7 linked regions of the Callithrix jacchus genome follow. The protein of the gene in region 6 interacts with the protein of the main gene of each other region in a pairwise test. Links are inferred from orthologs where the notes say so. Each region holds a gene or a part of one and is shown on either strand. Other genes may lie near its edges.

What was found.
Region 1: the proteins of FSD2 (region 6) and SPATC1L interact in binary tests that used the Homo sapiens proteins (3 or more experiments, as listed by UniProt). The two-hybrid records come from large-scale screens. The link is inferred for Callithrix jacchus from reciprocal best matches to the Homo sapiens genes FSD2 and SPATC1L.
Region 2: the proteins of FSD2 (region 6) and SH2D4A interact in binary tests that used the Homo sapiens proteins (3 or more experiments, as listed by UniProt). The two-hybrid records come from large-scale screens. The link is inferred for Callithrix jacchus from reciprocal best matches to the Homo sapiens genes FSD2 and SH2D4A.
Region 3: the proteins of FSD2 (region 6) and TLE5 interact in binary tests that used the Homo sapiens proteins (3 or more experiments, as listed by UniProt). The two-hybrid records come from large-scale screens. The link is inferred for Callithrix jacchus from reciprocal best matches to the Homo sapiens genes FSD2 and TLE5.
Region 4: the proteins of FSD2 (region 6) and CORO1A interact in binary tests that used the Homo sapiens proteins (3 or more experiments, as listed by UniProt). The two-hybrid records come from large-scale screens. The link is inferred for Callithrix jacchus from reciprocal best matches to the Homo sapiens genes FSD2 and CORO1A.
Region 5: the proteins of FSD2 (region 6) and LENG1 interact in binary tests that used the Homo sapiens proteins (3 or more experiments, as listed by UniProt). The two-hybrid records come from large-scale screens. The link is inferred for Callithrix jacchus from reciprocal best matches to the Homo sapiens genes FSD2 and LENG1.
Region 7: the proteins of FSD2 (region 6) and FMR1 interact in binary tests that used the Homo sapiens proteins (3 or more experiments, as listed by UniProt). The link is inferred for Callithrix jacchus from reciprocal best matches to the Homo sapiens genes FSD2 and FMR1.

The regions. Positions count from the first base shown.
Region 1 is NC_133522.1:51,762,434-51,766,146, reverse strand, and holds part of SPATC1L (speriolin-like protein), read left to right. Parts: intron 1-2,688; coding exon 2,689-3,039; intron 3,040-3,713.
Region 2 is NC_133514.1:22,193,845-22,198,160, reverse strand, and holds the start of SH2D4A (SH2 domain-containing protein 4A), read left to right. Parts: upstream 1-1,509; 5' UTR 1,510-1,652; intron 1,653-1,811; exon of another isoform or gene 1,812-1,905; intron 1,906-4,316. UniProt on the Homo sapiens protein: Inhibits estrogen-induced cell proliferation by competing with PLCG for binding to ESR1, blocking the effect of estrogen on PLCG and repressing estrogen-induced proliferation. May play a role in T-cell development and function.
Region 3 is NC_133523.1:2,836,557-2,840,903, reverse strand, and holds the start of TLE5 (TLE family member 5), read left to right. Parts: upstream 1-1,620; coding exon 1,621-1,647; exon of another isoform or gene 1,648-1,648; intron 1,649-2,489; coding exon 2,490-2,587; intron 2,588-4,347. Other genes in the region: uncharacterized protein LOC128930549, read right to left, coding at 807-1,622. UniProt on the Homo sapiens protein: Transcriptional corepressor. Acts as a dominant repressor towards other family members. Inhibits NF-kappa-B-regulated gene expression. May be required for the initiation and maintenance of the differentiated state.
Region 4 is NC_133513.1:29,353,524-29,357,748, reverse strand, and holds the start of CORO1A (coronin-1A), read left to right. Parts: upstream 1-1,378; 5' UTR 1,379-1,495; exon of another isoform or gene 1,496-2,189; intron 2,190-2,623; exon of another isoform or gene 2,624-3,000; 5' UTR 3,001-3,001; coding exon 3,002-3,199; exon of another isoform or gene 3,200-4,225. UniProt on the Homo sapiens protein: May be a crucial component of the cytoskeleton of highly motile cells, functioning both in the invagination of large pieces of plasma membrane, as well as in forming protrusions of the plasma membrane involved in cell locomotion.
Region 5 is NC_133523.1:47,340,314-47,344,715, reverse strand, and holds the start of LENG1 (leukocyte receptor cluster member 1), read left to right. Parts: upstream 1-1,445; 5' UTR 1,446-1,468; coding exon 1,469-1,600; intron 1,601-2,647; coding exon 2,648-2,827; intron 2,828-3,738; coding exon 3,739-4,001; intron 4,002-4,402. Other genes in the region: voltage-gated chloride channel TMC4, read left to right, coding at 1-117, 214-369, 626-704, 799-867.
Region 6 is NC_133507.1:24,078,659-24,082,710, reverse strand, and holds the start of FSD2 (fibronectin type III and SPRY domain-containing protein 2), read left to right. Parts: upstream 1-1,573; 5' UTR 1,574-1,815; intron 1,816-4,052. Other genes in the region: WHAMM (WASP homolog-associated protein with actin, membranes and microtubules), read right to left, coding at 962-1,573.
Region 7 is NC_133524.1:144,510,863-144,514,575, forward strand, and holds part of FMR1 (fragile X messenger ribonucleoprotein 1), read left to right. Parts: intron 1-714; coding exon 715-801; intron 802-3,234; coding exon 3,235-3,430; intron 3,431-3,713.

The sequences.
Region 1 (3,713 bases), on a different chromosome or scaffold from region 6:
TACTTGATGCAGCTATTTCTGGCCCATCTATGGTATTTTTCCTAGGGGTTATCTTTGTAGGAATTTGACGTTAGAATTGTGACAAATTTTGAAACCTAATTGAGCATGCTTTAAGCGTTCTGTGGTTCCAGCTTCATTTGTATGATGTTGGGATTATGACTTGTTGGGAACTTGGCACACTCACGAACAGAACACCCAGGCCTGCAGCCCTTTTTGGGGAATAATAATTTCCTGACTTTGAGACTTTCCTTCTTTGTGTGTTGGTTCATTTAGGTTTTCTATCTATTATTGAGTTACTTAAAAGTAACTTTCCAGGTTCATCCATGTCCCTACAAAGGACACGAACTCATCATTTTTGATTGCTGCGTAATATTCCATAGTGTATATGTGCCACATGTGTGTACCTATGCAACTATCTTGCATGTTCTTCACATGTACCCCAAAACCTAAGATGCAATTTAAAAAAAGAAAAAAAAAGTAACTTTCCAGAAGATACGTCCTTTTACTGCAATTTTAATTAATACAGAATTGTACATGATGCTCTTTTATAATTTGAAAATACCTGGGGTGGGAGCTGGTGCAGCCCCGAGGACTGACCAGGCCTCCCCCGTGGCAGGAGGCAGGGCACACACTGATGACTTTGCTTCTTTTGAACACTTTTTTTCCTTGGAAAACATTTCTGAGGGAAGATTGGTTGGTTCCTTTGTAGGCACATGACGTTTTGATATAGCTCTTCACAGCGTTTCTCAAATATGTATTTGCTTTGTTGCTAGGAGAATACTCACGACATGGAGGTAGAATAGAATTTCATAAGCCACAAAGGCATTGATAAATTTGACCAGGGATTAGGGAAATGCCACATGACCTCATCAGCCTGGTTAGGGAATACCGAGTCTTCATGAGGCTGTGGGGCCGGGAGCAGTTGGTGGGCATGGAACCTCCCCCTCATCGTGGAAAGCAAAGAAAGTTAAACATTAGCCCAGCGCAGGACCACAGGGGACGCTCACGGAGGGAGGAGGCTGAGCCCAGCGCTGGATCACAGGGGAGGCTCACGGAGGGAGGAGGCTGAGCCCAGCGCTGGACCACAGGGGAGGCTCATGGAGCGAGGAGGCTGAGCCCAGCGCTGGATCACAGGGGAGGCTCACGGAGGGAGGAGGCTGAGCCCAGCACTGGACCACAGGGGAGGCTCACGGAGGGAGGAGGCTGAGCCCAGCGCTGGACCACAGGGGACGCTCACGGAGGGAGGAGGCTGAGCCCAGCGCAGGACCACAGGGGACGCTCACGGAGGGAGGAGGCTGAGCCCAGCGCAGGACCACAGGGGACGCTCACGGAGGGAGGAGGCTGAGCCCAGCGCTGGACCACAGAGGATGCTCACGGAGGGAGAAGGCTCATCCTGGGAGCTGTGCGTTTGCAAGGAAATGTGGGAACAGCCTGTGCCCATCGACAGGGCAAGGGTAAAAAGCCACTGTGTGTGTGTCCATGTGTACAGAGGTGCCAGGAAACAGTTAAATGAACTGGGAGCTACCAGATGGCTCAACGTGGATAAATCTTAGAGACAGAATGCAGCAGCAAAAAGTTCTGTTGCAGAATAAAATGTGTAGGGTGTCACCATTTATGTAAAATTTAAAATGCATATAAAAGTCATTCTCCAGTGTGTGTGGGTGCACAGGGCGGGAGGAAGCACGCGGAGGCCTGCCCGCTTGCTGTGTCCATAAACAGACGCAGCACTCCCGTGGGCATGGCGGGCACCATAAACAGATGCAGCACTCCCATGGGCATGGCGGGCACCATAAACAGATGCAGCACTCCCATGGGCAAGGCAGGCACCATAAACAGACGCAGCACTCCCGTGGGCATGGCGGGCACCATAAACAGATGCAGCACTCCCATGGGCATGGCGGGCACCATAAACAGATGCAGCACTCCCATGGGCATGGCGGGCACCATAAACAGATGCAGCGTTCCCACGGGCATGGTGGGCACCATAAACAGATGCAGCACTCCCATGGGCATGGCGGGCACCATAAACAGATGCAGCACTCCCGTGGGCATGGCGGGCACCATAAACAGATGCAGCGTTCCCACGGGCATGGTGGGCACCATAAACAGCCCTTCCATGGGCATGGCAGGCACCATAAACAGACAAAGCGCTCCCGTGGGCATGGCGGGCACCATAAACATGCAGCGCTCCCATGGGCATGGTGGGCACCATAAACAGTACTCCCATGGGCATGGTGGGCACCATAAACAGCGCTCCCATGGGCATGGTGGGCACCACAAACAGACAGCACTCCCGTGGGCATGGCGGGCACCATAAACAGACAGCACTCCCGTGGGTATGGTGGGCACCATAAACAGACAGCACTCCCATGGGCATGGTGGGCACCATAAACCGCTCCCGTGGGCATGGTGGGCACCATAAACAGACAGCACTCCCGTGGGTATGGTGGGCACCATAAACAGCGCTCCCGTGGGCATGGCAGGCTCCCACGGCCACTTCACTACATCTAGCATCTCCTTTTTCACTCGAGGTCCAGAGGGGCAGGAGGATGCTCTGAAGCCAGGGACACCCCAGCAGGTGCTGAAGCTTGGGGTTGGGCACACAGGGTTTGTTAACATGTTCTTTGCACTCTGGAGGATGTTTTAGGCACTTGACCTGACGCCTCACCCCTTTCCTCCCTGCTCCAGTTCCAGATTTTGGAAGGTTCACCAGTGTCGCTGACACACCCTCCCAGTTGCAGATGCCCTGCCTGGAGGACCTGCTGTGCTCACATGCCCCCCTGCCCAGTGAAGACGACGCCTCCCCAGGCTGTGCAGCCCCTTCCCAGGCATACTTCAAGGCCTTCTTCAGTCCCTCGGAGCTGCACAGCCACCGAGGCACTGACAGGAAGTTGTCCCCACTCCTGAGCCCCTTGCAAGACTCACTGGTGGACAAGAGCTTGCTGGAGCCCAGGGAGGTGGTCCGGACTAAGAAGGTGTGCTTCTCGGAGAGCAGCCTGCCCACCGCGGACAGGACCAGGAGGGGCTACTACCTCAATGGTATGGCCGGTGGGGGGGCAGCGGGTGAGCCCCGGGGGAAGGCTGGCAGCCGTGGGGAGGGCACGTCTGGGTGGTCACGGAGTGGAGGGAGGATGGCCAGGCTGGGAGGCTGGGGCCCAGGACAGTGGCTGTCCCAACCTTTTGCCCATCTTTAAAGAAAAAACGGGTTGCTTATCTTCTCCTTGGGAAGTTGCGAGAGTTCTTTACCCAGGTGTGAGTCCTTTTGGGCACAGGTGTTGCAGATATGGTCCCCCCTTCATGGCTTCCACTTTCATAGTAACGTCTTTTATGAGCAAAACTGTTTAATTTAATGAAGTCCAGTTTATTGATTTTTCTTTCGTATTTTATGCTTTTTATGTTCGGTTTAAGAAATCTTTGCCAAGCCCAAGGTCACATAGATTCTCTCCTACGTGTTGTTCTAGAAGTTTTATAGTTTAGGTTTTCCAGGCAGGTCTCTGATCAATTCCAAGTTACTTTTCATATATGGTGTGAGGTTTGCATGTCGATATCCACCTGAGGCTCAGGCCAGCCTCCCGCCTCAGCCTCCCAGGTAGCTGGGACTGCAGGTGTGTGCCTGGCTAGAATAAAATGGCTTATTTTTGTTTTTTGTGTTTTTGTTGTTGTAGAGATGGGATTTTCCTACACTGCCCAGGCTGGTCTTGAACTCCCAGCTG
Region 2 (4,316 bases), on a different chromosome or scaffold from region 6:
GGATGGGATCCCTGGGAATGACTTGGAGTCTAGGTAGCTTGATGGGCAGAGCCCCTAGCCTCGGGTGAGAGGGTGGGAACCATAACATGGTATGAACTGATCCGAGTGAATGTGTTTGAACACTCACCACATGCCAAGAGCTGTTCTCATCTCTTTGCATGCAGTATCTCATTTAACCCTCTTAACAATGTAAGGAGGCAGGCACTCTTTATCCAGAGGAGGAAACTGAGGTACAGAGATTAATAGCACAGTGCCAGAGCTATTATAAGAAAGGACTGGTCAGGAGTTGAAGAGAGACTGGATGTGAGGAAGGTAACTGACCGTCACAGTGTCCTGTGGGATTTTTACTAAATGATAAACCACCCTGTATAGTTCTTCAACTGATCCAGCCATGCAGGGGTAGGATTCATTTGGATCTGGCCATAGCAGCTTTCCAGGGGCCAATCCCACTTCAGCCTAAAGCACCCCATAGGTTATCATTTAATCCGCAGCGGGACTAAGCCTTAGACCAGAAATTCCTCCCTAATGGGCTCCCTGGAATGGTTCCCACATAGCTGGGGGTCCTTTACTGACAATGCTGCCTGCCCTGATGCTTGATGTAACTCAGCCATATCTTCTGCAGTTGGGAGAGATGGGGAATGACATTTTGTGTTTGAACCCAGCAGGTCAGGCTCCTGAAGAGGTCAGGTAGGCTGTAGAGAGGACAACTGGTGATTACTGTTTATTACATGACACTAAGTCCCCAACACACGAAATCTGGGGTTCCCCAAAACAGACGGTGTTCTTCCACATGCTCCTCAAGGATGGAAAATGCCCTCCAGTGGAAATGCCTTTCCACTCTGCTTCTGCTGGATTTTCCTCCAAGATTTCCTCTAACTGTGGACTGCCAGCTCCTCCCTGATGTCTTCAGGCACCACCCAACCTCTGTTCTTGCTGCAATCCACAAGGCTCCTATCAACATCTTGACTTTCCCTCCAGTTTTCTTCCATTTTCTCCCCCTATGTTGACTGCGGTCTCCTTTCCCGCCTTTCTCCTTCATCTTGCCCTACAAAGCCGCACCTGAACCACAAGTGCCAGAGAGTTTGATCATTTACCTAATGTCAACAAAAGAAAAAAAAAGTAAGCTCTAGAGCCGGCTTGGCCTGAAGCACTCAAGCACAGTTAACAAGTGGGGCCAGGGCACCCTCCTACCCTCCACCTCGCAAGGAACTCAGAACTCTGAAACGGGGAAAGGGCCAGGCCTGCTGATTTAATCTATGTCCCGCAGTCTCCAAGAGGTCACAGACTGCAGATCCCAGTCTCCTGAAGTAAGAGAGGAGAGGACTACCGCAGTTGGAGGACAGCGCGAGGGCCAAGCGGCCCAAGATGCGCAGGCCACGCAGCCTCACGGACAAGTGGCCCTGGAGAGCCTCCAGGCACCCGGGTGGGGCCGCGATCGCGCTCTCAGTCACCCTAGCCTGTGGGCGCGGCAGGGCGGCGCGGGCGGGCCGGCTGCCGGAGCTGTTTGGCGTCTTGGCCTGAGTGTTTGCCCAGCCCGCCTGCGTCGCTCGGGGCGGCTCGGCCTTTCCCTCCCTCCCTTTGCCGACGGCTTCTGGCAATCAAGTGGATGTGGCGGGCGATCGGGCCACCTAGCCCAGGCGCGCCCAGCACTGGTAGGTGCTGGGGGTGGTGAGAGGCTTTGGGGAGAGAGTGCATGGGGTGGGAGTTGGGGGAAGGGAATTTCCTCCGGGCTTGCAGGGGTACCTGGGAGGTGCACGGCCCAGAGCGGGCGGGCGGAAGACTCACCCCGCCTCCACCCCTCCACGGCGCGCGGGGCGGGCTCAGGTGCGGGGCTGGGCGCCTAGCGCGGCCGCGGAGTGTCCGGTGTCCGGTGTCCGGTGTCTGGAGTCTGGAGCCGCTGGCTGGGTGAGTGGCGGTCCCCGGGGCCCGGGGACTTGCAGGGGATAGCGGGGTGAGTTCCGAGGGGGAGGGTCTAGCCCGGGCTCAGGAGACTTTTGGGGAAGTTCTGGGATCTGGCGAGGACTCGCGGCTCGTGCTTCCACCCGCGTGGAGTGCAGGCCGGGAGACGATCCGGGCTGGCCTGGAGTTTCTAGACTCCTAGCAGGAGCACAGCCCCGTCCTTCGCCCGGAGATCTTCCAAGAGGGAAGTCCTGGGAAGCGGTGGCAGCCGGCTCAGCACCCCTGCAGCGCGTTCCCTGCGTGCCGGCACCCAGGGGCGCCCCCACGTGGGGTCGGGGCGCGCGCGGAGGCACGTGCAGCGCAGCCTCCCTGGGCCTCAGACCTAGACATGGTGCCCAGTGGGCTCAACCAAGGGCGCCCCTGCCCACTGCTGGACTCGGGGGTCACGCGGGCCCCGGGAGGAGCCACAGTTTGTAGATTTTCTGAGTTGTCTCTCGCTTCCCTGGACGCTTAGAGAAGCAGCAAGCATGGAACCTCCCCTTTTCAGACAGGTGCTCCTCATTGCTGAAAGAGGCTTTTGTTTGATTGCTGTTTTAATAGAAACAACGACTTGGGTACCATTATTGTTAAATAGTGAATAAATAAGTGTAAAGTATACAGGGGCATAGATTTGGCATGAGTGGAATTTTCTAGGTATACTAAATCTGTGTGTACAGTAAACTCAAATTTCTGAAGAATAGTATATACTTGCAAAACTTGCCAAATTTCTGTCATCTCTAGTAATTTGTTTCATGGTCCAAAAACAGCCCTTGTGCTGGTAGATGCATAAGATAAAGTTTGAATAAGAAAGTAAAGTTGGACCACAGAGCTGGCTGTTTTAAAGGAATTAGAATTCAGACTGTGTTGTTAATGTATAGTTACACTGTCGGTACTACAATACTTTGTTATTTTTTATTTTATTAGGTCGGTGCAAAAGTGCGTTTTTTCATTATTGTTTTGTTTTTGTTTGTTCGTTTTTGAGACGGAGACTTGCGCTTTTTAGCTCAGTCTGGAATGCAATGGTGTGATCTTGACTCACTGCAGCCTCCGCGTCCCAGGTCCAGGTTCAAGCAATTCTCCTGCCTCAGCCTCCCAAGTAGCTGGGATTACAGGCACGTGCCACCATGCCTGGCTAATTTTTGTATTTTTAGTAGAGATGGGGCCAGCTGGTCTTGAATTCCAGACTTTGTGATCCGCCTGCCTCAGTCTCCCAAAGTGTTGGGATTACAGGCGTGAGCCACTGTGCCCGGCTGTAAATTGCAGTTTTTATGGCCAAGAAAAACAGTAACTTTTTTTTTTGCCATAAAAACTGCAATATTTTTGCACAGACCTAATATTTTTGAGACAGGGTCTCGTTCTGTCACCCAGGCTGCAGTGCAGTGTATGATCTCAGCTCACTGCAGCCTCAAACTCTGCAGCTCAAGCAATCCTCCCACTTCTGTCTCCCAAGTAGCTGGGACTATAGGTGCAGGCCACCACACCTGGCTAATTTTTATATTTTGTGTAGAGACAGGGTTTTGCCATGTTACCCAAGCTGGTCTCAAACTCCTGAGCTCAAGCAATCCACCCACCTCCACCTCCCGAAGTGTTGGGATTACAGGTGGAGCCACTGTGCCCGGCTTACTCTTTTTATGATTTAGGCTGTATCTTAGGCCTTTTAAAATTTTTATTTGTTTAGGCATCAGAGTTATCCAAAAGACAGTTGTATTAACACTGTGAAGGTGTGAGAATCAGGCCAAATCTATGGTAGCGTGGAAAACAGCTGATTCTCTCACCCTTTAGCAATTGGTGTTCAGAATAAATAGCAGGTGTGGGCTTGTTGCTTATCTTTCTCTTAAGAATGGTTTTGTGTTAGCTAGCTTTTCCTTTATTGGATCTTGAAAAACTGGAGGTTTGCTGCACTTGATATTTTATGGGAAAGTCCTTTGAATTTGAATCAGTATCAGCAATGATTATTTGTCCTTGTCAGAGAGTGAAAGTGGGAAAACCCGGTTAGTTAATTTCCTCATTTCTATTTCTTCTACCCTGGCTCTACCAGGCTCTTTCACTTCACAGTAGATTATGTCACATAAACCACATATTATGAGGAGTCACAGACTGAACTGGCCCTCATTTCACAGATGAGGAAACTGAGTCCCAAGAAGGTGAGGTGGCAGCCTAGAGTCACACTGCTCATTAGAGGCAGAGCTGGGAATTGAGGCTGAATTCCCTCTGGGTGTCTTGGATGCACTGTGCTGAGCTTGAGTTGGGGTCTGAGAAAGGCTTGGGGTGGGGGTTAGGGGATGGGAATTTAGGGGTGAGAGGGAGAGGTAATTTACACCAGCACCATTCAGCAGCTGCAGAATAACCACATCGTCAACAGCCTGACCACAGATAGT
Region 3 (4,347 bases), on a different chromosome or scaffold from region 6:
CTGACGTCAGGAGTTCGAGACCACCGTGGCCAACATGTGAAACCCCATCTCTACTAAAAATATAAAAATTAGGTGGGCGTGGTGGTGGGTGCCTGTAGTCCCAGCTACCCAGGAGGCTGAGGCAGGAGAATCGCTTGAACCCAGGAGGCAGAGGCTGCAGTGAGCCAAGATCGTGCCACTGCACTCCAGCCTGAGTGACAGAGCAAGACTCCATCTCAAAAAAAAAAAAAAAAAAAAAAAAAAAAAAACCACCAGGTCCTGTCCCTCTTCCTTCCACAGCCCTCCAGGGCTCCCACCTCACTCAGAGCAAGAGCCCTGTACTCCCCGAGGCCCACAAGCCCTTTTGGAACTGGCCTGTGTCACCAGCTACAGAGTTGCAGGGCACAGTACAAAAGAAAACTGAAAGGCCCCTTGTTCGAAAATGATTCGGAATTTCAAAACGCAGCAGTAAAGATTCACCCAGGCAGAAGCCCTGCTGGGGGCAGGGGGCCTGGGCAACAGCATGAAGCCCCAGGCCCAGGCCCTGCCTCCATCCCGGGCATCCTGGTGCCAGGCACAGTCCTGCCCCAGGGCCTTTGCACCTGCTCGTCCTGCCTCTGACTGGCACTGCCCCCATCCCCTGTTCTCGCTCCTTGGGGTCCGTTTGTGGAGGAGGAAGCCCTCTCTGACCCTCCCTGCCCTCTGTTCAACCTTGCACCTTCCTACCCCGCCATTGTCCCAGCCGATTTTCCCCGCAGAGGCGTCCCCACCATCTGACCTGCTGGGAATTCAGCTCCTGAATTTATCTCTGTCTGTCTCCAGGCACCTCACCAGGGCAGGGGCCTTGTACCCCCCCCACCCACCCCAGGGCCCTGGAGCAGCCGGGCCTGGCACACAGGCCCTCCATAAAGGTGTCCAAAGAATGGCTTCCCTGAGGAAGGCGGCATGACCGCTGCCTTTCTGCAGAAGAGGAAACTGAGGCCCGGCGAGAACCACCGCCCAGCCAGAGCCAAGGTCACAGAATACGTCCCTGGCACGCGTCCAGGTCGTGCCACCGCAGGGCCGGCGGCTTCGACCTGGGCAGCCGGGTCCCTTTCTCTGACAGATGGGGAAACCGAGGCCAGGCCGGCCGCCAGGCTGGGGCGGGTGGCGGGGGCCGCGGCCCGGGGCGGGGGCGCGCCGGGCCCAAGGTCACCGCGGCGGGCGGGCCCCGGGGAGGCGGGCCGGGGTGGGGATCCGCAGGCCTCCCCGGGCGCGCGCGTCCCCCCCCTCGGCGGCGCGCACGGGGCACGGGCGGCGGCGGCAGGTGGAGCCGGAGCCTCCGCAGCAGCCGAGCCGCGGCCACCGCCGGCGTCGCCGCCATTAGACAATAGCGGTGGGGCCGGGGAGCGGGGAGGCGGGCGGCGGGGAGGGGCGGGGAGGGGCGCCGGGCGCGCAGGAAGCGGGGCCCGGGGCGCGCCGGGGCCGGGCGCGCGGGGAGGGGGCGCAGGAAGCGGGCGAGGCCGGGCGCGGGAGGCGGCGGCGGCGGCCCCGGGAGCTGCCGATCCGCGCCGGGACAAAGGCGCGGCCGCCCGGCGCCCCGAGCAGCCCGAGCCGGGGCGCACAGCCGGGGCGCAGCCCGCGCCCCCCGCCGCGACTGACATGATGTTTCCACAAAGCAGGCATTCGGTAAGCGGGGCCCGCCCGCCCGGCGCCCCCTCCCCGCGCCCCCGCCCCGCGCCCCCCCAGCTCCCGGGCCCTGGCTTCCCTCTCGGGCTCCGAGCCCCGCGCGACCCCCGTCCTGCCGCCGACCCCCGGACACCCCCTCAGTTCCCGATTCTCCCCCAGCTTCCGGGCCCCGAACCCCCCCCCAGCTCCCGGCTTGGCGCCCCCCCCCCCGCCCGCCGGGACAGGCAGGGCCTCGGACGGCCTTGGCCTCGGGCCTGGGGATCTCCGGGAGCCCCGCCAGGCACCTCCAGCGCGGGGCTCCTTTGGGGGCCTGTGGTGGGGGGGACAATCCGAGGCGTCCCCCCTCCCGGAAGAGAGCGCGTCCCCGAGGAAGGGCGCTGGGATTCTGGGGTGGGCTCCCCCCCGGAAGATTTAGGGCGCCGAGAGAGACCCCCTTCCCCAAGGGGACTTTGCAGGGGGGACTCGCTGCCCCTCAACTTGGGGAGGGGGCTCCCTAGGGCGCGTTTCCACCCCCCTCGGAGGCACCCACTCCCGGCGCTTTGGAGGGGCGGTAGAGGGCGTACCCTGCCCCCCACCTAGGGCGGGCCTTAAAACGCACCCCCCACTGCCTGGGGGTGGCGGGGGACGGGGCGGCTCCGGGCGCACCCACCCCCTCAGCTTCCCCCGGGGAGAGGCGGGGGCAGGAAGCGCGGGTGGGGGCCTTGCCAGGGGCGGTAAACACGGGCCCAGGAAGTGGGGCAGGAGGGGGGGCGCCGCAGCTGCGCGGCCGCTCCCTCCTGGCCCGCCCTTGAGGGGGGCCTGGCCCACGCCTGGGCCTGACCGGGGCGCCCCCCTCCCCACAGGGCTCCTCGCACCTACCCCAGCAACTCAAATTCACCACCTCGGACTCCTGCGACCGCATCAAAGACGAGTTTCAGCTCCTGCAAGCTCAGTACCACAGGTGAGGGGCGGGTCGGGGTCCCTGCGCCCGAGAGGGTGAGCCCCCTTGTTCTGCACGGACGGCAGATTGGGAAAATAACGTGTGCTAGGCTCCGACCGAATCGCTTGACAAATACTGAATTCCTTTCTTTAAACAGCCCCAGTTTGTAGAGGAGGAAACCGAGGCACAAAAAAGTTAAATAATTTGCCCAAAGACCCACCTGTGTGACTTCAGAGTCCCTCCCTCCTCCCCAGTCTCCCCCAAGCCCCCCCCCACCCCCCGCTGGATAAAAGACCTTGCGCCAACCAGCTTAGAGCCTGGACTCACCATCCCCCCAACCCCAAAACACATTTTGTAACCTGGTTATGTCTGTCTTTGGCCAGTTTTGGAGAAAGGGTTCCCAGCGCCCATCACGTTCTCCAAGGTGCTTCTCCTTTCAGAAATCTGACCTTTCTGAAGAGTTTGCCATGTAGCTGGTCTAAGGCGAGGGAACTATTGAGTCCTCTTAAAGAAATGTAAGCCCAGGCCGGGCGGTGGCTCACCCTTATAATCCCAGCACTTTGGGAGGCCGAGGCGGGTGGATCACGAGGTCAAGAGATCGAGCCCATCCTGGTCAACAAGGTGAAACCCCGTCTCTACTAAAAATACAAAATTAGCTGGGCACAGTGGTGCGTGCCTGTAATCCCAGCTACTCGGGAGGCTGAGGCAGGAGAATTGATTGAACCCAGGAGGCGGAGGTTGCGGTGAGCCGAGATCGCGCCATTGCACTCCAGCCTGGGTAACAAGAGTGAGAATCCGTCTCAGAAAAAAAAAAAAAGAAAACAAAAGAAAGAAGCTTAAGCCCAGAGAGGTCAGGGATTTCCTCAGGGTTAGTATCCACAGCACTGAGGAAGGGGCAAGGCTGAGGTGGGCACCAGGTCTCTCTCCTGGTGTAAGGATGCAGATTCCCACGTGCCCTGCTCTGGAGGGGCGCAGCAGACCTGGGAGTCTGGAGGAAGTCAGGCCACGCTGAGGCCCACGTTTCAGCCTGGGGGCCCTCTCCTGACTGCAGTTTGCCCATCCTGGAGGGACCCTGGACTTCCTCCAAGTAGAAAGGGGAATCTCGATTTTGAAACTATCCAAACTTTCGGGGTACTCCCTGTGTGCTAAAGACCATATGTGCTTCCTCGTGAGGTCCGGCTGTCGTGCCCATTCTCAAGATGGGCACACTGAGACCCCGACAGTCAAAAGCACTGGAACCAGCTTTCCAGGAAGGCCCCAGAAACTTCTATTTGGGTCCCTGGAAGCATAGGGTTTGAGACTGCCTGGTGGGCCCTGGGGCTGACCTGATTCCACAGGGAAGAGATCAGATGGCCTTCGCAGTGCTGTGTGACCTCCAGTAAGCCAGACGCCCTCTCTGAGCTTTGGAGTCTCCATCTGCTGGGCCTGGGCTTTCTGCTATCCAGAAAGCCCTGCCATATCAGGCACACACTGGATGTTCAAGGCATAACAGCCCCTGGGTGGCCGGATCAAGTCTCACGCTGTCGCCCAGGCGGGAGTGCAGAGGGGCAATCTCGGCTCACTCCAACCTCCGCCTCCTGGGTCAAGTGATCTCCTGTCTCGGCCTCCCAAGTAGCTGGGATTACAGGCACGCGCCACCACTCTCCTAATTTTTGTATTTTTAGTAGAGACAGGCTTTCGCCATGTTGGCCAGGCTGGTCTTGAACTCCCGATCTCAGGTGATCCACCCGCTCGGCCTCCCAAAGTGCTGGGATTACAGGCGTGAGCCACTTTGCCCAGCC
Region 4 (4,225 bases), on a different chromosome or scaffold from region 6:
GCTGTTCCTCAGCCTACAGGACACCCCTCTAGCCTTACCTGTTGGCTCTTCCTCATCCTTTCAGGCCCAGCCCAGATACTTTAAACAAGAATGATGAGAGTTAACCTTTTCTTTTCTATTTTAATGAGACAGAGTCTTGCTCTTTCTCAAGTCTGGAGTGTAGTGGTGCGATCTTGGCTCACTGCAGCCTCTGCCTCCTGTGTTCAAGCTATTCTCATGCCTCAGCCTCCTGAGTAGCTAGGATTACAGGCATGTGCCACCACAACAGGCTAATATTTGTATTTTTAGTAGAGATGCAATTTCACCGTGTTGGCCAGGCCAGTCTCAAACTCCTGACCTCAGGGGATCGGCCAGCCTTGGCTTCCAAAGTGCTGGGATTACAGGCATGAGCCACAGTGACTGCCCCAGAACTAACATTTATTAAGCACCTGCCATTTTCTAGATGAGGTGCTTACTACCTTCCTTGAGTTATTTTAGGTAATCATCCCCATACCTCTTATGTGGCAGGTATGAGTGTTACAGAGGGAGAAACTAAGGCTGAGAAAAGCTAAGTAGCAGCCCCACGTCAGTCAACAGGTGACAGATTGCGGTCACACTCACGACAGAGTCTGACTCTAGAGCGGACCTTTTCTGCCCTCTGTTGCTGCCTCCAGGAGCCCCTCTGATTCCAAGGGTGGGAACTACCCCTCCTTGCCCTCGAGCCCGATGGAAGTCTGGGCTAGGAGCGGCTGTGGGCTCTTCCTCCTTCTCCCAGGCTGGCTCTTCAGGGGCGGAAGCCTGCCTGGCTTGCTCGCCTCTATAGTCCCTGGCACAAAGTAGGTGCCCGTGATGCCCAATTATTTCAGCAGGAGGGCAGGGGTGCCCCCAATGAAGACAGGAGAGCCAGGGAGGCGAAGCGACTCCCGGGGCCACCTATGCGTAGATTTTAGAGCCAGGCAAGAGCCAGGTCCCCTAGGTCCAGGGGCGCGCCCGGGGCTCCTTCTCGCCCGCCCTCCCTGCGCCCCCAGAGCTCGCGTCTGCAGGGCTGGGAGGCGGCGGCGGCGCAGCCGGGCCGGGCCGGACACCTAGGCCTGGAGGGCTGGCCTGGGGCGCTTTCGTGCCTGCCAGGGAAAGGCTGGAGAGGAGGCTGGGGGCGGACGCAGGAAGGAAAGAAGCAACGGGGTATTTTTGCGTTTTGACATGTTAAAAAGAAGTGCAGATTCACTTCCCGGCGGCGGACCGGTAGCCTATGCTTCTGTTGGGGACCCGCGTAGGGCGCGGGCTGGGGGCCGGGGAGGGAGGTGGCCGCCGCGGGGACCGGGGGAACGCAGGGCGGGCCTGAAAGAGCTCCGCCCCAAGGGGCGCGGCCACCCCGGAGGCGGGCGCACGGCTGCTTCTCATTCATTGTCTTGACAAGAGCATCCTCAGCGGGCGAGTCCCCGGCTCCTCCAGCTCCTTCCTCCTTCTCCTCCTCCACCTCCGGCTTCTGGGGGTCACTGTCCTCTCTTGGCAGCAGGTGAGGCTGGGCCTGGGAGGCGCGGGTGGGCCGCGGCGAGGGCCACCTGTGGGGCGGCGCGCGCGTGGGAGCCGCGGGCTGCGGGGGCGCGCGGCTGTCACAGCAACCCGGCCGGCGCCGGGGCCAGGGAGCGGGCGCAGCAGCACGCGGGGGGACGCTGCCTGGAGTGGGGGCTGCCGGGGCTCCAGATCGCTCTGTGGAGGCGAGGGCGAGGGACCACCGTGGCCAAGATGGAGGTGGGTGGCCGGGGGTCAGCACAGTGGCGAGGCCCCGACTCCCCCCGCAATTGAGTCTCGAGGAGGGTGGGGATGGGGGCAGGGTAGGGTGAGTGGGGCAGCTGCCCTAGCCTTGGAGACAGGAAGAGGTTGAGAGCAAAACAAGAAAAGCCCAAGTTCCCCTTTCCGTGGTTTCCGGGCCTGGTACCTGTGGCGGGGGAGGAGGCAGGGTGGGGCGATGGCTTCCTGCCCCCCACCTCTGGTCCGGGGCTCCCCTCTCTCTAGACCCAGGCTGCTCCTCAAGACTAGGGCTCTTCACTTATGCTCCTCACCGCTCTCTCAGCAGGCCGACCTAGCAGCCTCCTCGGGAATCCTGGGGTGGCTGGGGGTGCTAGAGCCCCCAGTGAGCAGGCGAAACTGAGGCTAGGGGCAGAAGCTCTGGGCATGGCATCCTCTGAGCGGCAGCAAAGATCCCTTCCCTGAGCAAGAAGGTGATGCGGTTGGCACAGGGTCGCCCCTGGAGTTCCTGGCTCCCCACCCAGACACGGGGGAAATCATCCTAGCTGGACATCAGAGAAGTCGGGGTGGCCTCTCCCTTCCTGTGTGTAGTTCACAAGGGGGTGGAGATGGCTCTTAAGGGCACCTGCTTTTCTGAGCGGAGGCGAGAGGCAGAGGTATGGGGAGGAGGAGATACTGGGACCTGAGCCACTGATGGCTTCTGGTGCCCAGAGACCTGCTGGGGAAGCCATCCTGCCGCCTCACTTTGCTCCAGCAGCCCCCACGCCACTTCCTCCTGTATCCAGCCCTGTGCCAGCAGGCAAGGGAAGCCAGCCCCTGCCCCTGCCTTTAGGAGGCACTCTGTGTGGGTGTGAGGGAGGTGGGCTCTGGACACGGTAACTAAGAGAGAACCCACCCTCAGAGCCATCTGGGCTGATGACGCCTGAGTCTGAACCATTAGGAAGGATGGGCTCTGCATCCGTCAGCCAGTCAGTCAGTCAGTCAGCAAACATGCAGTGGGGGCAACACCACGCCGGGCTCTGCTGCAGAGGCTAAGGGTACAGAGTGAGAAGGTGGCTCAGAGTGGCCGGGGGCCAAGGAGAAAGGAGCTTGCAGGTTAGACAGGAGGAGAGGCTGGCAAAGGGGAGCAGGCATCAGCCACAGTAGGGAGCCTCTGGAGATGATGCTGGGACCTCAAAAGCCAGACTGAGGGGTGTCCTAGGGGAGGTGGAGGCCATTGGAAGATCAGAGTTGACCTGAAGGGAGAAACGCTCTTAATCTGTGTGCCCCCAGAATGAGCCGGCAGGTAGTCCGTTCCAGCAAGTTCCGCCACGTGTTTGGACAGCCAGCCAAGGCCGACCAGTGCTATGAGGATGTTCGCGTCTCACAGACCACCTGGGACAGTGGTTTCTGTGCCGTCAACCCTAAGTTCGTGGCCCTGATCTGTGAGGCCAGTGGGGGAGGGGCCTTCCTGGTGCTGCCCCTGGCCAAGGTGAGCCCCTGGGGCCCTGTGGGGAGCAGCTTCTCCACCTGACCATGGCTCTGTGGAGGTCCTGATTAGGTGACTGTCACCAAGTCTTCTGGGGCCTGTGTTGCCATCTGGAAAACTGAGCTGGGCCCCAGGAGCCTCATGCTTCCTCCAGCACCTCTGTGCAGTGGCTGTGTGGAAACTGACGCTCAGAAGGAGCCAACACAAGATGGGTCACACCACTGCCCAGGACTGCAGACAGTCCTGCACACCCACAACCCACCCTCCCGAGCCTCAGCCTGGGGCTTTCTCCCCATGGAAACACCGAGAAGGCTGGGATGGGGTCTGGGGGCCCGGCAGCATTTTCAGGGTTGGGAGGGACTCTGGCTCTGGGCCTGCCTGAGGACCTCGAAACTCTGGCCCCCAGCTCACAGGCAGAGAGGATGCAAGAGGCGCTCTCCCCTCCCCCAGCCCTGCCCTCCCCTGAAGCCTGCTGTCCCTTCCACCGGCTGCCTGCTGCCCTGCACCCCCAGCACACTCCTGTGCTCTTTGGGGGGTGAGACAGGAAGGGGAGATGGGCCCCAAGTTGTTACCTTAAAAGGGCCGATAGAAGCAAAGAGAAGAGGAAGTGGTTGTCGGGGTGAGAGCTGGGCCTGAGCCCCGCACTGCCGTCACACAGGAAGCCCTGCTGGAGCAGCTGTCCCCGGAAGAAGCCATTTCCAAACCTCTGCCCTCGCCTGGGGCTGGTTATGACAGGCTCCCTGGCCCCTCTCCTTTGGGGAGGACCCACCCCTGCAGCCCCACCACTCACACTCGCTCTCTGGGGAGCCAACCGTGCCCCCCTACTCCCCATACACCTGTCCTGGCTCTAGGGCCAGTTGGGCCCATGGAAGGCTCACTCAGGGAAGCTGGGGTGGGGTGCAAACCCTAAGGGCAGAGAGAGACTGAGACAGAGACCAGCGGGAACTCTGCCAGGGTCTCGCATGGCCCACATCCTCTGCCATGCGTGGCCAGCCCTCCTGGGGTTTACCCAGGCCATTTTGGGACTAG
Region 5 (4,402 bases), on a different chromosome or scaffold from region 6:
CACCTGCTCTCCGGCTGCCCGCACGTTCCGGGCCTCCACAGCGAATTTCTTTTTCCCCCTGGTCCTTCTCCTGGGTCTGGCCATCTCCAGCGTTCCTCTGCTTTACAGCATCTTCCTGTAAGTGCGAGAGGCTCCTGCCTCTTTCCCTCCCTCTCCCTGCGTTCAGCGTTCAGACTCCTGGCTCTACGTGAGCCCAGCCTATCTTGACTTCAGGATCCCACCTTCTAAGCTATGTGGTCCATTCCGGGGGCAGTCGTCCATCTGGGCCCAGATCCCTGAGTCTATTTCCAGCCTCCCTGAGACCGCCCAGAACTTCCTCTTCTTCCTGGGGACTCAGGCTTTTGCTGTACCCCTTCTGCTGATTTCCAGGTGAGTTTGCCCAGACTTCTGGGTCTGGGTTTGAATGCACGTGATCTGGGGGCCACCACCTGCGTCGGAGAGAGGAGAGGCTCGGGGTGGGAGGAGGCCTAGGGTCCAAAGGAGGAGGAGGAGGAGGGTGGGACTTAGGACTCCTGGGCTGGGAGACTGAAGTCCTTGTAGATGACATCCTGGCTTTGAAGGAGCCAGGGGTTTGTATAGAATGGAGGAGCGTGTCAGGAGTGGCTTCTGTTCGTGTCTCCTCCAGCATCCTGATGGCGTACACTGTGGCTCTGGCTAACTCCTACGGTCGTCTCATCTCTCAGCTCAAACGTCAGAGAGAGACGGTGAGCCAGGCGGGTCCCTGAGAGGGACCCCGTGGGGGACATTGAAAGGCATTGGGGGAGAGGGCTGTCTGACCTCCACCTCTCTTTGCCTCAGGAGGCGCAGAACAAAGTCTTCCTCGCACGGCGCGCTGTGGCGCTGAGCTCCACCCACCCGGCTTTTTGACCCCTGCAGCCCATGTCCCACCTTCAGACTCCAGGCCAATTGTAAGCCTAGGTCACATCTGTAAAACTAGGAGAACTAGAGAAGACCCCACGCTCTTCCAGCTCTAGGATCTGGAGGTTTCCAGAGACCCTCGCCGCCACGTCCCAGACTCTCGGGTGATCTTTCTTCTATGAATAAACACAGCCGAGGTGACTGAGCGCGCTTTGAAATCTGCGTCCTGAAGGTGGGGGCAGGGCTACATCAGGGCGGGAGCCAATCAAATGCATGGGAATGTGTGGCCGTTCGAAGTGCTCTTCCGCAAGGAGACTTGATGGTTGTGTTGGCCAATCGGCGGCCGAATCTGGCATTAGGGGAGGGCCAACTTGCGATTGGCTCGGATATGTGAAAAGCGGTTGCTAGGGGATACCACGCGCCAAAAGCCTGGCATTCGCTGAGATAAAGGGCGTCTTAGCCAATCACCTGTCGTTACAGGCCAGGGGGCCGTACCAATGAGTTAAGAACCAATCTGTGGTCGAAGTAGGGACAAGAGGGAAGGGGCATTCTCTCGCCAATCGGAAGTGCAGAGAGGCGGGCGTGCCAGTCCGTGGACTGCTACGACGCCATGAATATCTTGCCCAAGAAGAGCTGGCACGTCCGGAACAAGGACAATGTTGCCCGCGTGCGGCGTGACGAGGCCCAGGCCCGGGAGGAAGAGAAGGAGCGTGAGCGGAGGGTGCTGCTGGCTCAGCAGGAGGTAAGCCTGGGAACCGGCCGGGCGGAACTCCGGGGCCCAGCGCGCAGGCGCCATGGTAGGGGGCCGGAAGTGGACGCGTTGCGCAGGCGCCGTGTGCCCCGTATGTAATTCGTGACCCGGCGCGGACCTCTTTTCCGAAACGTTGCTCGGCAAACGTTGTGCCCACTTGCATGAAATCTCCCTTGATCGCCCCCTCGTCTTGTTTCCCCCCACTGATGTATTTCACATGGCTAGAGCAGTGTCTAGCACAAAAGAGAAGCATAAATGTTTACCGAATTCAGGATTCCTTGGACAGTTTGAGGAAATTCGGATCACTTTCTAGTTGGCTTGCACAGTCTATTTATTGAGCAGTTACTGTATGCTAACTGCATGCAGAACGCCTGACTTCCAGAATCCCCCTTAAGCACCGTTCTTTCTTAAAGAGGCATTGTCATCTCCGTGGCACGAAGTGAGATGGCGTCAAGGGAGGGGAAGTCTCCACCCCCTTGGGCGAGCCCTTTCCCTGCACCACCCCCAGACACACACACAAACATGGGCTTTATGTATAGCTCCTTAAATCTGTTTGGTGTACACCTAACTTTCAGTTCCTTAGCCAGTCTGATCCTCCACACTGGGAGGGAGGTAGTCTGGGTTTTTAGAATCTCAGTAGGCTGCTGAGAGCTTTGTCCTGAAGGTGGGAGACCGGGCTTCATCAATGGACTTGGGGTAATGACTTGGAGCCATGCCTGGAATCCAGATCATCTGACCTAATGCAGTTTGTTCTACCTTTATAGCTGTTTTAATTGTCTCACTTGAGGTTAGGAACCCCTTTGGTTTAGGCCAGGGACCTCCTCCCAGCCATCCTTGATGTGTGGTTTACTATTTGAAAGGCAGTTTACAAAACCCAGGTGTTGCCTTATCTGCCTACCCTCACCCCTGCTAGGACAGGTGCCCCCTTTCTTACAAACCCAGCACCCTGGACTGCTGTTTCCTGTGGTGCGCACCAGACTTAAAAGTTCTTGAATTACCTTTAGGTTTTTAATGTCTTGCCTGTAACTTTCTCCCCAGGCCCGTACAGAATTCCTACGGAAGAAAGCCAGACATCAGAACTCACTGCCTGAGCTTGAGGCAGCAGAGGTGGGAGCCCCAAGTTCTGGCCCTGTGGACCTGTTTCGAGAGCTGCTGGAGGAGGGGAAAGGCCTGATCAGAGGCAATAAAGAGCACGAGGAAGAAAAGCGACAGGAGAAAGTAAGCTGGCCTTATCTACTTCATCAGAGACATGAATGGAGCTGGGGGGAGGGACACTTTAGCCATTGGTTGTGACTAAGGCTAAACAAGAGTGAACACTCAGAATTTAGAACCATACCAAAGCACACTCAGAAGTGGTGGCTGTTGCCATTTGGGTGCCCTCAGGGCTTGGAGGTAGATGCTCGAGATCCCCAGCTGCTAGGTGAACTGCTCAGGTCTCCAAACTGGAGGGGTCTCAAACCTGATGAGCTTTTAAAAATCTAAATCAGCTTGGTGGTGGCTCATGCCTGTAATCCCAGCATTTTGGGAAACTGAGGTGGGCAGATCACCCGCGGTCAGGAGTTCAAGACCAGCCTGGTCAACATGGTATCTCTACTAAAAATACAAAAAAAGTTAGCTGAGCATGGTGGCATGCACCTTTAGTCCCAGAGGCTGAGGCAGGAGAATCGCTTGAACCCAGGAGGTGGAAGCTGCAGTGAGCTGAGATCGTGCCACAGCACTCTAGCCTGGGTGGCAAGAGTGAGACTCAATCTCAGGAAAAAAAAAAAAAAAAAAGTGAATCAATCACTTCTTGCCTTTTGGCTAAGATCGAGTGTAAAAGCTCCTGTTCCTCACCTGCTGTCTCTGGACTTGCTGACCCCACCCACGGGTCCTCTTGCTTTGCTTGCTCCCTGCAAAGATGCCTGCCTCTGAACATTCAGGCAGCTCCACCCCATCCCCTCCTTCCTCTGCTTTCTGTGACTGTCCCTGCTATCGTCACCCCAGGGCAGGAGCTTGGCCTCTGCTGGTCTCTTCCCTCCCCAGCACCTGGCACAGCTGCTTCACCATAGGCCTTAGATACCTGTGTCAGGGAGATAAACCTGACACCCTGAAAGATTATATCCCATCTCTTTTATTTCCTGACCCCTCAGGAGAGACAAGAGAAAGCTCTGGGCATCCTGACATACCTGGGCCAGAGTGCAGCCGAGGCCCAGACTCAACCCCCTTGGTACCAGCTCCCACCAGAGCGAGGGGGTCCCCCGCCTGGCCCAGCCCCAGATGAGAAAATAAAGAGCCGCCTGGACCCTCTGCGGGAGATGCAGAAGCATCTGGGGAAGAAGAGACGGCACAGCAGTGATGAAGGCAATCACAGCAGAAAGGAAAAGGATGGCTCTGAGACACAGCGACCCAAGGGGTGAGGAGGAGGACCCTGCCCTGGCAGAGCAGGACCCAGATCTTCAGGGCTTGGCAGCAGCCTGGCACAGGCACAGCAGGAGCTCTGGGTGGAACAGCCAGGGACCCCGTGAAGGGATGGCTGGGTGGAAAAGTGGTTCTCACCATGTGGTCCAGGGAGCCCTAGGGGTCCTGACTCCCTTTCCGGGGGGTGCCGTGGTGTCAAGCCTATTTTCCTAACACTGTTTGCCTTTCACACTCATTCTCAGGCAGGTAGTGCAGCTTTCCAGAGGCTACATGATGAGAAGACACCCTCACTGTGATGACTAATGGCAGATACTTATGTCCAAGTTTTCTTAGTTTTCACTTCTGATTTGCATGATATTAACAGAACCCATTGAAACAAACGCTCTTGGGACCCCC
Region 6 (4,052 bases):
TTCTAACGTGAAATCACGAGAAGTGGGTTGTAGATATATACACATAAAACCCATAGTTTAAAAAAAAAAAAACCCACAGTACAAAAATGACCCCACCAACGATCTCCTTTTATAAAACCATTTTAATTTAGAAAGCTTATTCTATATTTAGCAGGATATAATTAAGATTTTGAAATGTAGCTGAACTCTTCTCTTCACCTCCCCTTCCTTAATGAACAAAAAAAAATCATTCAGGTTAATAACAGCAGTAAGCCAAGATTGTCCCACTGCACACCAGCCTGGCTCTCCTTAGTAAACTGTGGGCGTGGATTTAGAAGGCATATTTTCTCCTAAACCCTTCTATGAACTTGTACTTCCCCCTCCCCTTAGGTTCGCTAGGTGTACCACTCAATAACTCCTTCTCAAACTACCTCGTTCAAGCAGCACTCCTGCAGTTATTCCAAACTGATGACTAAAGTTCACTTTCACTTTCCCTCAGCCAAGTCTTTATCACTTAAACAAAACAAAACACCTTATCTCTTAACAGCCATTTCTTCCGTTAAACCATTTTATCCCGTTTGTGACATTCCCTCATATACAGACTTGGAACGCTTACATTTAGTCCGTGTTATTCTTTCCTACGTGGATGGGTTGTTTACAGTTTTGCTTGCAATATTTCTGGCATTTCCCGTTACAACACCCTGTTCTGCCAGCATCTCCAGGACAAAGGTTGGGAGCCTAGCCCAGCTCCGAGCTGCAAGTACACTAGGCTCTAACTTTGTCCGTCCTCTCTGCAGGCCCTCCCGGAGCTCCCGCCCGTTTCGCACAGCGGTCCCGCGAAGGTGAGAGCACCGCGGAGCCCGCGGCCTTCTCCACCCTCCGGCTCCTCCTCGTCAGCTGGCAGCCCGGGCTCTGGGCGCCCGGGGAGCTTCCCACAAGGTCCCAAGCCTAGGCAGCGCAGACTGGGCCCGACCTCACTTACCTGGCGCAGCCGCGCGTCCGCTTCGGTCCACCGCGCGCGCAGGGCCCGTTCCCGGAACTCGCGCAGGCTCTCGCAGTCTGCCGCGCCGCCCTCAGCCGGGAAGAGCGCGTCGCGCACGGTGGCGCCACCGCAGCCGTCTGCCGCCTCGCCCAGGTAGCGCTCCAGCCGTCCACACAACTCCCGCAGCGCCGCCTCTCCGGGCCCCGCGCGCGCCGGCCACAGCAGCGCCCACAACCCAAGACCCAGGCCCCAGGCCCCGCCGCCGCCACCTACGTCCAGCTCCGGTGGCAGCCGCGGGAAGCAGCGCTCTAGAGGCGGCCATAGCGCCGCCAGTTGCCGGTGCGCGCCGCGGAACCCCGCGGCCGAAAGTAGGCCGGCCCAGCTTGGGGGGGACATGGCGGCCTCGGGCTCGGGCTCGGGCTCGGGCTCGGGCTGGGCCCCCTCGCGTCGCCACCGCCGCTGCGCGGTGCGGTCGTGACAAGTCACAGCGAACTTGCCCTCCGCGCCGTTCCAGGCCACCAGGAAGCGCAACCGGTGCCGCTCGGGCTCGGCGAAGAGGCCCTCTCGGACCGGCACCCAGCCCTCCAGGCTGTCAGGCTGCTCGTCCTCCATGACAGTCGGCGGCAGCGGCTCTAGGGCTCAGCGGGCGCGGGACTGTCCTCCTCGCACCCCCTGTCACGAGACAGTCCGAGCTGAGGCATTTTTCGCTGGAATCGAAACCGCGTCAGTGTCCCGGCAGCGACCCGGTCCTCGGCACTTCTGATTGGCTGGCAGCCGGAGGCGGGGCTTAAGTGAGGCGTCCGTCGGGAATGGTTAGGTGATAGAAGGGAGGGTCAGCTACAACCAATGAAAAGGTGAGGTGGTCTCCCTCGGACGTCAATCATTTCGCAACCTGGTCGGGAGTCTGGGAAATACAACGCTTGCCTCACCTTTTCCACCCAATACATGCGGACTTTGGAAAAATATCTTTAAATGGGCGAGTTATTATCTTAGCCTCCCACACTAACCTATGAACTTCTACGAATAGGGACCAAGCCGATTTCCTCTTCTGTCATCAGGGCCCTATTGAGTACATGGTTCCCGCCCTCAAGACTGTCACAAATGTGCTGGGAAGATGAAATAAACTTGATAGTCATTTATTGAGGGCTTCTAAGTGCCAAGTACTGGACAGAAGCCACAAATTTACTTTTATTGAGTGTCGGCTGTGTGCCAGTATTGAGACGATGGAGTAAGAGGGAGAATTCAGGGCACCACAGCTTCCAGCCAGGGTGTTTAAATACAATCTTCATTCCAACTCTTCACTTTATACCAAGTACCAGCTCGGCCATAGAGACCCCCATCCAGGCGGCGCTGAAGGAACTGAGAGGCAGACACCCAGATAGAACAGCAAAGTGGGCTTATGGGGGTGAGAGGCGGGGAGGGCAGTGGCCAATAGGCTTCTGAACTGAGAGCCTCAGGGGCCGGACAGCATTCCGGACTGAAGGCCCCAAGTAGACTCTGACCCATGCATTTATTCTCCCTGAACAGGTGATCACTATTAACAAACAGGTGTTATGTGTTTTCTCATAACACAAAACACGCCAAGTAGACATCTGGTGCCCGCTTACAACTGATCACAACCTAAAAAGTATTCTCCGTGAGGGAGCCACGGGGGCAGGTTCTTAAAGAACTGTAACCGGTTTGTGATATTTATACATTGTCCTGCCACTTTGGAATGCCCCAAGTAGTTTTCTACTTGGCGGGGGGGGGGGGGGGGGTGGGGCTGTGTGCTGGTTTTCCTTGCCATCGTTCTTCCTAGCAAACGATATATTCTGTCATACACTCGGCATTCATCAATATTCATAAACTTAACATTTCTCAACATCAATATTCATAAACTTAACATTTCTCAACAACTTTAGAGTTAAGGAAACAGAGGCCCAGACTAACTTAAGATACACCAAAACTCAGGCTCAACATGACTACCTGGCTACTGAAGGCCTGTTTAAGGAGATATCAGGAAATCCAGTTTCCATGTCAGGGTGGAGTTGGATCTGTTCATACAATAAGGACCAAGACCGCCCTCGTCTCTGCCTGGGAAATGTACAGTGTCAACTGAGAATTATATTTTGTGCTTTCTGTTATCCCCAAGGGCAAACAACAAGCAGGAGAATCTCTGGAGCCTAGGAGGCGGAGTCTGCAGTGAGCCGAGATTGTGCCACTGCACTGCAGCCTGGGCAGCAGAGTAAGACTCTGTTTCAAACAAACAAACAAAAAGTCTGTTTTAAATATCTTTCTTGTATACTCCTCACATTGTATCATTTTACTATCTCTTTTATACTTTGTAACCACTTCTACTAGTTTTCTAATCTATTTGTTTTTTCAAGAGGAAACTAATCTTTCTAATTATGAAAGTGTAGTGAGTGGCCCGGTGCAGTGGCTCACACCTGTAATCCCAGCACTGTTGGAAGCTGAGGTGGGAAGATCACTTGAGGTCAGGAGTTCGAGACCAGCCTGGCCAATATGCCCAAACTCTGTCTCTACTAAAAACACACGCACACACACACACACACAAATTATCCAGGCATGCTGCATGCCCTATACTTCCAACTACTAAGGAGGATGAGGCACAAGAATTGCTTGAACCCAGGAGGCATAGGTTACAGTGACCGAGATTGTGCCACAGCACTCCAGCCTGAGTGAAACAGTGAGACTCAGTCTCAAAAAAAGAAAAAAGTCTCCTCTGTATATATATTAATATATGTCTTAGCCCATTCAGGCTGCTAGGACGGAATACCATAGACTGGGTGGCTTATGAACAACAGACATTTATTTCTGATAGTTCTGGAGGCTGGAAAATCCAAGATTAAAGCACCAGCAGATTCGGTGTCTGGAAAGGAAGGGCCTGTTTCTTGGTTCACAGATACTTGTATTTTTTTTTTTTTTTTTTTTTTTTTTTTTTTTTTTGAGTTGGAGTTTCATTCTTGTTGCCCAGGCTGGAGTACAATGGCGCAATCTCAGCTCAACTCCGCCTCCCAGAAGCAATTCTCCTGCCTCAGCCTTCCAAGTAGCTGGATTACAGGCGTGCACCACCATGCCCAACTAATTTTGC
Region 7 (3,713 bases), on a different chromosome or scaffold from region 6:
CCCCTGGTATTTCATTTTGATTTTTTTTTTAAAGAATTTGATTGGTCAGGTGTGGTGACTCACGCCTGTAATCCCAGCACTTTGGGAGACCAAGGCAGGCAGATCACCTGAGCCCAGGAGTTCTAGACCAGCCTGGGCAATATGGTAAAACCCCGTCTCTACAAAAAGTACAAAAATTAGCAGGGTATGGTGGCATTCATCTGTAGTCCCAGCTATTCAGGAGGCTGAGGTGGGAGGAACACCTAGGGCCTGGGGAGGTCAAGGCTGCAGGGAGCTGTTATTGTGCCACTGCACTCCAGCCTGGATGACACAGTAAGACCCTATCTCAAAAAAAAAAAAAAAGACTTTGATCATGATAAAGCATTTAGTAAATGAATTAGAGCGTCTTACACTGTTCATTTTGTCTATATATCTCATGTTAAGCTTCTATAGTTTTGAATTATACATTTTTAAATTTTGCTGTTACTGAATACTAATCTTCAAAATGTAATCTGATACTTTTAAGAGGTTGCTATTAATCTTTTCTTATTCACAGTAGATGTATAAAGTAGTATATCAACTACTTTTGTTTTCATATATTGATTTATATTTTCAGCAAACATTTGTATACCTACTGTTCACCAGATCCTGTGCTAGGGAATTAGTCATTATTTACATTTTTCAGATTTAATCTATCATTAATTTTTAGGATCATCATTGCAATTTCTTTTTCAGGGTATGGTACCATTTGTTTTTGTGGGAACAAAGGACAGCATCGCTAATGCCACTGTTCTTTTGGATTATCACCTGAACTATTTAAAGGTGAGAACAGAAAGAACAACTTCTAATCCTTTTGTACTAAAATATACAAACTTTATAGTAGATCTTTTAGCAGTTAGGATTCATTCTCGCCTGTGCAAAACACTGACTTGTCAAAGATAATAGAGAAAATATGTTGTTTAGTTTATAATTTTTCTAAAAATGGAAGTCACTACAAATTTAAGGACCTATATAGCAGTTCTCAGTAAAATTTTATACTTACCCTTATTCTTCTCTTAAACCCATTTACGCAGTCCTGTACATAATCTTTTAATCAGTTTGATCCTTTCTAGCATTTTGGTTTTTCCAGGCCAAAATTTGTGTCTGTAACTCTTGCCTTTATTATTCCTTTTGTGTCATTTATCAAGGAAAGCTAAGCGTTTCATGAAGTCCTTTGTTTAAATGTTTACCCTCTCTATTTTTCTCTTTGCTATTCTTCAAAATACAAACTGTTTGTGCTTCTCATAAATGGTCATTTTAGAGTTAGGCAGTTATGCCTCCTTTAAATTTCAAACTGGAAGATAGGATCCAGGAAGCTACAGGGTGTAGTGGAGAAAGCACTGGATTGGCAATCCAGCAATTTGCTTATAAGTCTTCAGCCAATGAACTAGCTGTGTGACTTTAGGCAAGTCACCTCCCTACACTAGATGCTTCTTGAAATTCCTTTTGGCCAAAATGTTCTATAATTTAATGAAATGGAAACTGATCTACTTCGTTTTTATAGTGTTTTATTTGTATCCATACATATCAAAATGATAATGTAGCTGGTATTAAATGTCTTTAAAAGCAATCAACTCTTATTTATGGCGTTAGGAATTTTTTTGCTGATTTCTTGAAAGAAAGAAAAACTGATTTCTGCTTGTGTATAAATAAGCATGAAAGGAAGAAAAACTGTGATATTGGGCATGTCATTCATTCTTATGGTGGCCAGTTAATTAAAAGTGGGAAGGTTTCATCCAGCAAGGTTTACATTGGTAGGAATACCTCTTTGATTTTTTTTTTTTACAGTATGCTTATGTGTAATCTTTAGTGTTTCTTCACATTCTTAGCTTAAATCATTTTGAAGACCTGGAGAGTTAGGATTGCACTGTATCAAATCCCTTATTATTTTGACTAATGTTCTTTCTTAGATCCTTTGATTTATTCTCAAGAATATCTTCTTTGGTTATCAGCAGCTGCCCTGTTGCCATTCTTTACATCACCATAACTTCCCTTGATTGGGCCTGGCATCTCTCACCAAAAGGTGACTGCTTTGCCCCAGTGGGATAACCTGGACTACTTGTTCTCTTTTGCAAGATATCCCCATTCCATGAGCTATTACTATACCTTTGGAGGAAGTCACTCAGCTGCAGTCTCTCCTTTGCTCAAATTCTGTGTAAAACAGATTTTGGTGTAACTGTGTAAGTTGCTAATGATGGCAGAGCGCAGGTGAAACTCACCAAATACTTACCTGACCTTTCTTTTCCAGAAGCTGCCACAATCAAGATTTTAGAAACTTAGTTTTACAGGGACTTCTCCATTGACTGTTCATATAGACAGTCTCTGTAATAACCTCTGCTTCACTGAGACACCTACTGCTACAATAGTTATGTATCTGATTCCCTGTAGCCAGTAAATGAGATGTTTCTGAGTGGATTCGAAGGACAGTGGTTAGAAGTGAGGTTTCACCTGGGTTTAACAGAACCCAACATACAGGAAGCACTGTGTGTAAGGGTCTGTCAGTGGACCCTAGGTGTATATTTCTATCAACTGAATGTATACTGTGGCTTGTACTTGTTGTAGCAGAATTGTAGTCTTTAAGTTTTCAAGGCATGATGTGAGACCTAGCTGTCTGGTCAGCTATTAAATAGTTTTGTTTTCCCTTCATAAGGAACAGTCAACATTTTCAGTTTGTGAAAATAATTGTTCCTTAACCATAGTATATGTTCTTTTAAAACAAAAGATGGCCCAGACTCAATGCTTTGTAAATTTAGATATTAACTGACAAATCTACTTTAATTAAGATTATTTACAACGTGTGATTTTTAAGGTTAGCTGGTTGAACCTTAAATGTCATTTATCTGTATTCATACATTTTAGCATTGTTTAATATCCTATCATGAAGAAGTCCCCAAAAGAGCATATCTGTGCCTTAGCAGTAGAATAATTGGATAATATTGCTAAATTAGACAGCTTTAAATTTTATTCAGTATAATTTTAATGCTGAGTGTTTTTGTTATATCTTTAATTCTGGACATCAATAATCTGTTATCTCTAGTAATTTTCTTTTTAAGGAGATCATTCAGTTTCCTGATAATTCTATGTAACAGTATTTACTGTAAATTTAGAGCTGAAATTGAAATATTTCCAGTATATTTTTATCTGATGAAAAGGAGAAAGGTTTTATTAAGTAAAATGTCAAATTATTTTTACTGTTATCTTGTATATTTTAAATAGGAAGTAGACCAGTTGCGTTTGGAGAGATTACAAATTGATGAGCAGTTGCGACAGATTGGAGCTAGTTCTAGACCACCACCAAATCGTACAGATAAGGAAAAAGGCTATGTGACTGATGATGGTCAAGGAATGGGTCGAGGTAGTAGACCTTACAGAAATAGGGGGCACGGCAGACGCGGTCCTGGATATACTTCAGGTACAAACTAAGCATTTTACTCAGTAACTTTATCTGTTGCTAGACTTATAGCTGCTAATCTCTAATATTCATTAGAACCCCATTATAACAATTTGTCACTACATGGTTTCCAATTCACAGTGGGTTAAATTGTGTTACAAGAGACATAGAGTAAAATCTGGATAATAAACACTTAGAGTTCACAGGGTAGGTGCAAGTTCTGTTCATGTTCTGATTGGGGGTAATCTGCAAAGCCCTTGTGTGTTGATGACTTTCTTAAGGCCTCTCCTCATTTTATAACTGT